2 linked regions of the Ovis aries genome follow. The protein of the gene in region 2 interacts with the protein of the main gene of each other region in a pairwise test. Links are inferred from orthologs where the notes say so. Each region holds a gene or a part of one and is shown on either strand. Other genes may lie near its edges.

What was found.
Region 1: the proteins of RFX6 (region 2) and FRS3 interact in binary tests that used the Homo sapiens proteins (3 or more experiments, as listed by UniProt). The two-hybrid records come from large-scale screens. The link is inferred for Ovis aries from reciprocal best matches to the Homo sapiens genes RFX6 and FRS3.

The regions. Positions count from the first base shown.
Region 1 is NC_056073.1:15,616,639-15,621,872, reverse strand, and holds the end of FRS3 (fibroblast growth factor receptor substrate 3), read left to right. Parts: intron 1-1,319; coding exon 1,320-1,481; intron 1,482-2,284; coding exon 2,285-2,442; intron 2,443-2,705; coding exon 2,706-3,620; 3' UTR 3,621-4,032; downstream 4,033-5,234. UniProt on the Homo sapiens protein: Adapter protein that links FGF and NGF receptors to downstream signaling pathways. Involved in the activation of MAP kinases. Down-regulates ERK2 signaling by interfering with the phosphorylation and nuclear translocation of ERK2.
Region 2 is NC_056061.1:21,007,586-21,013,245, forward strand, and holds the start of RFX6 (DNA-binding protein RFX6), read right to left. Parts: upstream 3,899-5,660; 5' UTR 3,842-3,898; coding exon 3,622-3,841; intron 3,366-3,621; coding exon 3,209-3,365; intron 531-3,208; coding exon 407-530; intron 1-406. UniProt on the Homo sapiens protein: Transcription factor required to direct islet cell differentiation during endocrine pancreas development. Specifically required for the differentiation of 4 of the 5 islet cell types and for the production of insulin.

The DNA.
Region 1 (5,234 bases), on a different chromosome or scaffold from region 2:
CCTTCCCTCCATGCACCTTACTGTGGAACTCAAGAGACAGAGACAGTTAACGCTGGCTGAGCAGCAAGAGGGGAGGAAGGGGCCTCTCTGCTCTTGGTGGGGTTTAGTCCACACTGAGGATCCCAGAGGAACCACAGATCCCAACACAGGGTTCTTCTAAAACTCCAGTCTTTTAAGCCCTTGACATATCTTGGAATGAGATAGAATAGAATAGAATGAGGAAAGAATAGTCCTGTTTCTTCTCCCTTCTACCCTTTTCATTCCATTCCTGCAGACCTGACACCCCAGCTTAGTCTGTCTGTGTGGACACCCACATGCACCTCCCAAGTAGCTTCCCTGAGTCCTGGTCCCCATTGTTACAGGAGGATGTAGAATCCCAGGCTGGCCCAGCATCCCAAGGACATCTTTGGATTCCCTGAGTCCAATCCTGCTGAGGACCATGTGTTGCTGCCTTGGGAGTTTGAGGGGCTGTAAGGGTACCCGCGTGGAGGAGCCACATGGTTGCCATGCCATATTTGTCCTTTAGCTAGATGGCCCATCCTTCCTTTCTCTACCAGAGTTCAAGCTCCGTGAGGTCAGAAGCCCGTACACAGTAGATAGTCACTCTCTGGCCAGGCACTGGGCTAAGTATACAGTGAACAGACAGTGAACAGGACAGACCCTCCCACCCTCAAAGAGCTTTGAGACTGTTGGGCATAGAGCTGAGGGCTGGGGCCCTGGCAGAGCTCTTTTTTTCTGGGGAGCAAGGGGTATCTGACACTATTCTTTCCACTTTGATTTTTTACTTCACTTTCTTTTACCCCTGTGCACACACAGCCTTATGAAAGTAATTTAACCTCAGGAATATAGTTGAAGTACCAGAGCTTATGGCTCAGACGGTAAAGAATCTGCCTGCAGTGTGGGAAACCTGGGTTCGATCCCTGGGTTGGGAAGACCCCCTGGAGGAGGGCATGGCAACCCACTCCAGTATTCTTGCCTGGAGAATCCCCATGGACAGAGAGGCCCAGCGGCCCACAGTCCGTGGGGTCACAGAGTGGGACACAACTAAGTGACTAAGCACAGCACGCTAGATCTTAAGATGATGGAAATGCATAGTGTGTGTTGGGGGAGGGGAGTGAAGGCCTTGGGCCGGCTCCTCCCATGGCTCTTGGATATTGGCGAGTGTGCGGAGAACAGTCAGGATGCTAACCCTAACCCCTCAGGCCTGGGACTGAAGTTCAGGGACGTTTCCTGAACTCTGTGCATCCTTTCAACCTCCCTGGTCCTCCCCTATAGGATGCAGGGTCAGAGGAGCCTCATTTCTTCCTCTCCTTCTTCAGGGATATTTGCATTTAAGTGCTCCAGGGCTGAGGAAATCTTCAACCTCCTCCAGGATCTGATGCAGTGCAACAGCATCAATGTGATGGAAGAGCCAGTCATCATCACCCGCAACAGCCACCCGGCTGAGCTTGACCTCCCTCGGGCCCCCCAGCCTCCCAATGGTGAGGAAACCCCTCTCCTCAGCACCCCAACGCACACACAAGCACAGGTCCAGGGAGCACTGGTCTTGGAGGCATGAGTCAGGCAGGCAGGTGGAGGATGGCTGGGTGAGCCAGGCTTCCAGGACCATCATCCATCATCAGACAACTCCCAGGGATAGATAAGTCCTGGCCTAGACTAATCAGGTGACTCAAGCTGAGGCTGGGGAGTCCAGAGCCTTGTATTGACGGATGGTCGGGGAGCAGACAGGAAGACATTGGGTTTCCATGGAAACGGCAGTCTGGAGCCGCTTTGCTTCCTTTCTTCTATCTACTGGGTCATACCCATATACCTTTCCTGACAGCTGGTGCACCATCTCTGCCCACAGCTGTCTGGAGAGGTTCCCACGGTTTCTGCTTGTTCATTCACTAAATCACATCGAACGCCTGCTTTGTGTCCTGCCCTCCATCAGCTGGCCCATGAGGGACAGAAGAAATAGACACACGGTCCTTGATTTTGAGGAGCTTCCCTGGAGCTCACTGGCAGAGCTGGAATGAAGTGTAGGGTCAGTTCAGTGACAGCAAGGTGTGCCTTAAGTGTTTCAGATAAGGCTCTGATGGGGGGAGTGGAGTTCAAGCTGAGCGTTCAGAAGAATGGCAGAGGTTGAAGATCAGACACAAGGTGAAGACAATGGGGACTGCCAGTTCGGTGGGTGGGCCCTCGAGGACCCTGGGAGTGTCTCCCTGGGAGAGTCCCAGGCTGCCACATGCACGGTTGCAGGCAGCTGCCACCTGGTTTAAGGACCCCTTGTCTCCTGTGTGCCCAGCTCTAGGCTATACCATCTCCAGCTTCTCCAATGGCTTCCCTGGCTGCCCAGGGGAGGGTCCCCGATTCTCAGCACCCCGGCGCCCCTCAACAAGCAGCCTCCGCCACCCCTCGCTTGGTGAAGAGTCCACCCATGCCCTCATTGCCCCAGATGAGCAGGTGAGCAACTGGCTGCCCAGGGTCTTCCTGTTGGTCTGGTGGGGGTAGGGGGTTGGGAAAATACAGCACCTCCTGCCAGTGAGGCTCATGAGAGGGAAGAAAATGGACAGGGCCCCTTCCTGTCCCAAGAAAGGGAGGCCGCTTCCCTGGAAGGTTTGGAGGGCAAGGAAGAGGAGGAGACTGCAGCCCTCTCCCATGTGCTTCTCCTCTCATCCTGTCCCCTGTTCTCTGCTTCCTTCTTGCCCTTGGACCCTCCCGCCCAGTCCCACACCTACGTCAACACGCCAGCCAGCGAGGAGGAGCAGCGCCGAAGCCGGCACTGCCTGCAGCCCTTGCCTGAGGGCCGGGCGCCCTTTGCACAGCAGGCCCGGGGCCCCGACCAGCGGGACCCACAGGTGTTCCTGCAGCCGGGCCAGGTGAAGTTCGTGTTGGGCCCCACCCCAGCTCGGCGGCACATGACCAAGTGCCAAGGCCTGTGCCCGAGCCTGCAGGACGCCCCCCACCACAACAATAACAACGAGGGCCTTTCAGAGTGCCCGGCCCAGCCCAAGTGCACCTACGAGAACGTCAGCGGCGGGTTGCGGCCGGGGGCGGGCTGGAAACTGAGCCCGGAGGAGCCGGGCTGGAACGGCCTGGCCCAGCGCCGGGCTGCACTACTGCACTATGAAAACCTGCCCTCCCTGCCCCCGGTGTGGGAGAGCCAGGCCCCACAGCCAGGGGAGGAGGCCGGGGATGACGGTGACTCAAGGGACGGGCTCACACCCTCCTCCAACGGCTTCCCGGAAGGCGAGGAGGACGAGACCCCGCTGCAGAAGCCCACCAGCACCCGGCCTGCCCTCCGCAGTCACGGCAGCTTCCCCGTGCCGCTGACCCGGCGCCGAGGCTCCCCAAGGGTCTTCAACTTTGATTTCCGCCGCCCGGGCCCGGAGCCCCCGAGGCAGCTCAACTACATCCAGGTGGAGCTGAAGGGCTGGGGTGGAGACCACTCCAAGGGGCCCCCGAACCCCTCCGCCCCCCGAGGCCCTGTGCCCACCACGCACCCTACCCGCAGCTCAGACTCCTACGCCGTGATCGACCTCAAAAAGACCGTGGCCATGTCCAACCTGCAGAGGGCGCTGCCCCGCGACGACGGGACCGCCCGGAAAACCCGGCACAACAGCACCGACCTGCCTCTGTAGGGGCGCCCCTCCTCCGCCCGGCCCATCCTCCGCCTCCCGCTCCATGCCCTGAACCCCCACGCCGGGGCTCGGGGCTGCTTCGCAGAAGGGCACTGAGGTGGACCAGATGCTTACCGCACTGGCCAGAGTCCCCAAAGATATCAGCCGCAGAGTCCCCCGGTGTCCGAGTTGGGGACAGGAGGGAGGAGGACCAGGCGAGGAGGGAGCCGCGGTGTAAACTGTGAAGGGCCCCCCGACGGCAATTAGCACCCTCCCGTTCTGTCATCTGTCGCGTCTGTCGTCTGTGTTTTTTTGGTTGAAATTTGGAAACATTTTGTACCTGTTGATTTTATTTATCAGTTTATTTTTCTATTTATTGTTTTAAATGTAATTTAACATATTTATTATTAATATAATTATTTTTAAATTCTGACGTGGATGATGTCACATTTTTAAAGAGTTTTTTTCTGGCATGCCTGGGGTGGGAGTCCAGGAGGCCTCACAGAGGTAGGGTCTTCACTCTAGGGTGATTGTGGTATTTGTGACAAGTAACAACCATTTCTTTTTCTCCTCTAAGAAGCCCTGGCCAGGAACTGAAAGTTGCCAGGGACGGCTGCTCTGTCAAAGTAAAGTGACAAGGCACCTGGAGTCCTTGATGCCCAAAGGGGATCTGTAAGAAAAACTCCCCGGACCCTCTGAGGCTGTAGTCAGTGGGAGTGGAATTGAGGGGTGGGGTGCTGTACCATATTCACCTTCTCTGGACTCTCTCACTGAGTCCCCCTTCCGCCCCCAGGTGGATCCGATTGGGTACTGCCCTCCTTTCCCACCTTGGCCCCAAGGGGGACCCTGGATCTTCCTTCAGCGCCATCCACATGGCAGGGTCAAGACTAGAACCTTTAAACAGCACTTTACTAAAAACCCAGGAAAAGCAAAAAAAAACAAAGAGGGAAAAACAGAGTAATACAGAACTAAATAGACTTACAAAGTGTGACTTTCCCGGAGAAGTCCTCCCTCGGAATGAGCTCTTTGGGGCATTTCTGACCGACTGCAGGGATGGGGCCCTCACAGAGCCACCACATCGCAACTCCTGCCTGGGCCCCTCTGCCCAGGGCTGTACGCTCCCCCTGCCTGAGGCCGTGGTTGCAGAAGCTCCCTTTCCGTATAGGGAGGCTGCCTCTTTCCTCTTCCTCCTCCCACCAGCCTCCCTGCCTCAAAATTCCCCTTTCTGTCTCAAACCCCTGAATGGTTAATCTCCAGAAAATCCAATGTCTCTAATGAGGCACTTAGGGCCCTGTGGAAGAGAGGGAGCAGGGTTTGTCCAAGCCTTAGGGACAAGCCTTCTTGTCTCATCACTGTTTGTGCCCCAGCTCCCTGTCCAGTGGAGTGAGCAGACCTGTCCTCCACACCAAGGAAACAGGCCAGGGCGGGGCCCACCCATCTCCTTCCCCTCCTGCTATTCAACCACTGTCCAGGGCCTCAATTCCAGAAGTGCCCTCTTCCCTGAGCGGGAATTAAACCAACCAGCTATCAGAACCCCCTGACCTTGGGTGTCCCTCTCTGTGCAGGAAATGGGCAAAGAGAACTGGCCACAGAAGATGTAAGAGACCCTTCACCTGGGGCCCAGTAGGATCCCAG
Region 2 (5,660 bases):
GAACTGTTTATGAGATAGAATAAATGCAATCACCAAATATATTAACGAGATACTTGTCATTTCCACTTGATTTTGCTTCTCAGTACAGGCCATATAATTCTTTTTAATGTATCCCTCTTTGAAGGGAATGAAGCTTATTTGAAGCTTCTTTTAAGGTCACATTAAATCTGGTAGCCAGGGTTCTAATATTTAAAACATACAGAATTACAGTTCAAGGTAAAACAAATAGTAGGTAAAATCTACATTAAACATATAGCAGTTCCAAATGCAGTCTTTAAGAGATTTCATTTACAAAACAGATTTCTTAATATTCTGTAAGAAAACTTGAACAGTTAAGTTTGTTTCCATACTGTTTGCCTCACACGACTTCAGTTGTAAGGTAGTATAGCCAAAATGTGTTATTTACCTTTCCAAAGGTGGCCGCGCAGGCTGGCTCTAATTTCTCTTTCCTGCAGAAATCTAAGTAGTGTGCATAAAGGATGCACCGTGGTAAGCAAACTCCTTCACATACAATGTAATTCTCTTCAAGCCTAAGAAAAAGGGCAAAGAATTAGTTCAAACCTTTTCTTTATTTCTTCTTTCCTTCCCCCTCTCACATTGTTTTACTGCTCCCTTTGAACACAGACTCTATATAAAAGTGTTCATGTTCTTTTATTCTGGATAATATTGAAAATATGATCACAAGGATTAAAGTTAGAAGAGCAAGAACCTCAATGAACACCTGTTAGTGCAGTTAAAACACCCACGGCTAAGACAAAATCACTTCTGCCTGGTCCACCTGCCTGAATAAGCCTTACTTCTGAGTAAATCTTCACTGTTCATCATGCTTTGCTCTGTGATATCCAAATATGAATGGTGAAATTGAAGGTGATGGATTTTTAAAATAACATTGTCGAGAGGCTTCCTACAATCTCTTACTTTCACTCCCAAACTGGCTCTGAACATTGAATAGTTACGGAAGTATGGTGACACATTTATTTGCAAAATACATAAGAATACATTAACTGTAAGTTTGAAATAGTACCAGTTTACCTCTATCTCTACCCTTTTTTGCTGTAATTAGTACTTATCATTACCTAAAAGATCCTGTACTCACGAAACATAATGTTATTCTCTATGGATGCCGCCAAACGTGACACTAAATTCGGTTCTATATTATAAACATAATCATATAATCTTTGAAAATTTAGAAATAATTCCACTTAATTTGGATACCAGCAATTGCAATTGCACACAATTTATATAAAGGTAATAACATATATTTAAGTGTTACAAATACCTGAACAGCCATCAAGAAATCAGAACTTGTGGATTCTAGTCTCAATTCTTCCACCCTTTCAGTAGACGATAATGGCTAAAATTTACTTACTTTCTTTTTATGTACAGTAAGATCATAATTAGTACTATACAAGAGCAACACAATATAGAATATACATTTAGGTTAAAATTGAGTGAAACTCTTCAAGATCTCTGATTTAACATGTTCCCAAGGTGCGTGAGATAAAAGCTACAGGATGTTTCCTGGGATTTGGTTCTTTTTTTCCTTTGTCTTAGAAAGATGGAAATCCCAGTAAAATTTACATACACAAAACCAAACACCTAGTTGACAGTGAAAATTGAAGCTACTCAGGCACTTTAATTTTTAATTCTAATTTTTAACATCCCCACTCTAATCTGTAGTCGTAAGGGAAAATTATCAAAAGGTAAATAACTCATGTAGGTTTTTTTAAAACTATATATCTCTGGGAGGGGGTGAGAGTGTGGAAAGTTCAAACAAAAATGATGACATTTTATAGTCTCAAAACATATGAAAATTACTGAGAAATATTCAACTGTTTTAACTATATTTAAATGACACATATAATGTCCACTTTTTCATCTGGCTGTATTGATATTGTTGGCATTGTTTTTGTCTTCAAAATACTGACTAATCCTAGACATAAATACAATCTTAATTTTGGATATGACTTTTTTCTTTAATTGTAATGTATTTATATTTATAAAATAAAAACCCATTTGTTTCCATTCATTCAAATTGAATGGAAGTGATCATTCAAAAAGCCTTCATAATATATCTGAAGTCAAAACCTTTTTGCTCCAATTATCCTAAAGAAAATAGCTGTTTCCTAAATATTTAAGATAATTAGCTCAATTATTTACTGCCCTAGTATATTCTCAACTAATAAATGAAATATCAATTTCAATAGATTAGCCATAATTTTAGAAGGATATTAAACTTATATTTCAAATGTTTGGAAGAATTAAGGACACAATCACAAACAGTATATGCAAATTGTAATTCAATGTTTAAATGAAATAAAATGTACTAGTTTTTATTAAGATACTGCTTTTTCTATTGTATTTTTTTAAGATTTAGATCACATTTTACATATAAACAGATTGTGTAACTTATTAGCAAATAGACATTTTTACTTATTTGCATCCTATTTGGAATTTGGGAGGAAATTTCTTTACCCTACATAGGGAAGTTTAATATTATGTTTTTACTTTAGATTCCTCTTCCTTTTGAAACAATATTATAAAAGTTTCTGTAGGACTTTTACTTAGAGAGCCTACTGATAAACTCTTGGTTTTAGAAGATTTTCCATAAAATCTAATTAGTGATATTTCACTGTAATAAATCATATATAAAAGCTACTTTTAAAATAGTTGAATATTTATTTAAGTTAATAGCACCATTTTAACTGATTGATCTATGTCTTCTAGTTCAAACATATTTCATCTTATGGCTGAATTGATACACAACTGATACACAATTTTGAATTTGCACTCTATGGTAAAAGGTAGGGTTAAGATCCTTCCTCTTTTTAACTTATTTTTTAAGAATCATGTTTTATAAACATAAAAGCTTATGAGTTGATTGCATGTTGAACAAGTCATTAAAATTCATTATTGCTTACATTCAAAGGAATTACAATAATGAAACTACAACAAAGAAATTACAAAATTACAAAGAAGTTAGCCAATAATGAACAAAGTGATGGTTTTTATTTGCATTGCAGATCATTTTTCACCTTTACCAGAATATGTCTCTATACAAAACATTCAGTGAAAACAATTTTTGGATGAATTTCTAATTGGTCTTTTAAACTCCTGCAAGAACGTTTGAGAGAACCAAATGGAAAAAAGCAAAGAATCTGAATATACTGACTTTCAAAATTCAAGGGTACCCTTGAGCGAGCCTTACCACTGCAGGGTGAGCTGGGTCTGCTTCTTTTTATCCTTCATAATCTGCGTGATGGTTTTCTTCTGTGAGAGGTGTGGATCGGTTGCTTTAGTTTTGCTGTCTGGATTATCCGCATCCTCTTCTTCGGAGGAAAAGTTACCATTGCTTAAATGCATTTCTAATTGCCAGTTGAAAAGATAAAGAAAACCAGAATATAAAATCAATTAATTAGCTCTAAATGTATCTTGGCGTCAAACGGGGTGGTCTATGGGGGGTTCGGAGGAGAGTTATACAAAATCCCTTAGACTTAATTTCTATTCGACCAGCATTTTCCTAGGGGAAACACATGTACGTTTGCGATGTGTTTATCATTGGAGGCCCTTTTAAAACTACATCCGAGTCCCAGTCACGTCCCGGGAGGGCAGAGCACTCACCGGCTTTAACTCCCCCGGGCAGCTCCGAGTCGTCCGCTTTCTCCCCGCTGCCCAGCTCGCGCCCCGGCTGCGCTTCGCCCGTCAGGTACACCCTTTCTTCGGGGTAAACGAGCAAACCCTTGCCCAGGAGCTGCACACAACACTCCTGGACTTCGGGGGAAACCGGGGGAGAAGCCTGCGCCTGCAGGAAGGCGTCTTCCAGCTCCGGGACCTTGGCCATCCTCCTGGCCGCCGAGACTTGGGCGCCAGCCGCTCGACCGGCGCCCAGCGGAGCCGGGAGGCCGGGGCGGGGCGGGGCGGGGCGGGGCTGCGGACCCCGGGCCGCTGGGGCGGAGGCGGAGGCCGCGGCTCGGGATCCCCCGGGCGTCGCGGAGAAGGAAGGCCCGGCCCAGGGGCAGCTCTGACAGCCCAGGGAACCGGGTGGGCCGAGGCGGGACTGCCCGTCTCCACCTGCCTGCCATCCTGACAGATGCTCCGCTCAGAACTCACTTCTCACCTGCGCGAGTCAAGCCTGAGCAATGAAGTCCCTTTCCCCACATCTCTTCCCTCTGTTTCCTCTTCTCCCATCTTGAGCTGGGACCGAGGACACTTTTCCACACCCAAAGCTCTCCAAGGAACCAAGAAAGCGACACTGTCATCTCGGGGTGGGGTGGGGGGCCGAGGGAGGGGAGAAGCAACTCTCCCCACCTCTACTCTCGGGTGACATCAAGGATGCTTCAGGGGACTGCCCTGATTCTGCACGCCCAGGCCGGAGGAGGGGGACCTCAGAGCACCGCTCAGTCTTTGCAGAACATGGTCTGGGCTGATTTATTCCCAGAGTAATCCTGGGCGGTGGGGGGTGGGGAGTGGTAAGGGGTCTTCTCAGTGACCCGGACAGACGCCATCTCGGCCCACTAGTGGGAAGACTGCCTTGCTCCCCAGCGCAGAATGCCTGCCTCTCTGCCCTCTGGGGATCTGGCTCTGAGCTTAGAGGAAAAGATGCATCCACTCTCTACGTATTTTGTAATTTAAACGCATCCCTGGCGATTCCTCACCCCTCATACCTGGTAGTAGTGCAATGGACCATTGCGGAAATGAAAAAATGAAGTTGCCACATTTCATTTCCAATCTAAAATGCCGAGATAGTCGTGTATGGGGGAAAATATCTTGTTCTTTCTTTAAGGAGAAATCAGTAGACTTGGGCTCTGTGTTGCCCCATTGACACCGAATCTTTCCTTCCTTCCACCTTCTGTTCTTTTGACAGATATTGCCCTGTGCTCACTATCTATATGTTTGGTGCTCTCCAGAGAGAGCAAATATCTTGCTTTCATTCACACTTCTTCACCACAATCTGCAGCCTGCCATCCTCATTTGGAGCTTAGTAAGATAGATCACTCCTGAAATTTAACAATATTAAACTATATTATATCCAAATATAACATGGAAAAAGCAAAATGGGACCCAAGGTGGTGGATGGCTGAAGGGTGGATTATAGGTGGGAGTAAAACAATCTAAGAGCATTACTTTGCCAAAGTGGCTAACATTATGAGTACATTTGACCCTTACCCATTTTTCAGCGTAACTTATGGAAAAGTCACCACTTCTCTGTCAGAGATTTTCTCCTGGTACCTCCAGAGCCTGGATCTAGGTTGGGGCAGTCCAGCTATCCAGGCAACCAAAGCTCTAAGTCTATACCACCATCACTCCCTACAACCTTGAGTATCAGTCTCCTCCACCCAGTACCCTGTCTCTGTAAAGCCTCAGAGTTTTCTCAGTCCATGGGGCTCAGTCCTACAATGATAAAGTTTAGAATGTCCCTTCTTTACAGAAACACCCTCAGACTCACTCTATAAAGGAAGTCCTCGTGGTTAACTGTACACAGAAAGACTCTGTCCACTTGTATCACATAATCAGAAGAAAAACATTCAAAAAAATTACTAGGATTTAAAAATAGCTTTTTAAAAATATCACTTGATGGACAGGTTGTATGTGTGTGTGTATGTCATACGGACACTAAGTGAATATCTGGCAATTATCCAGTTGAATTGATCAGCGAAAAC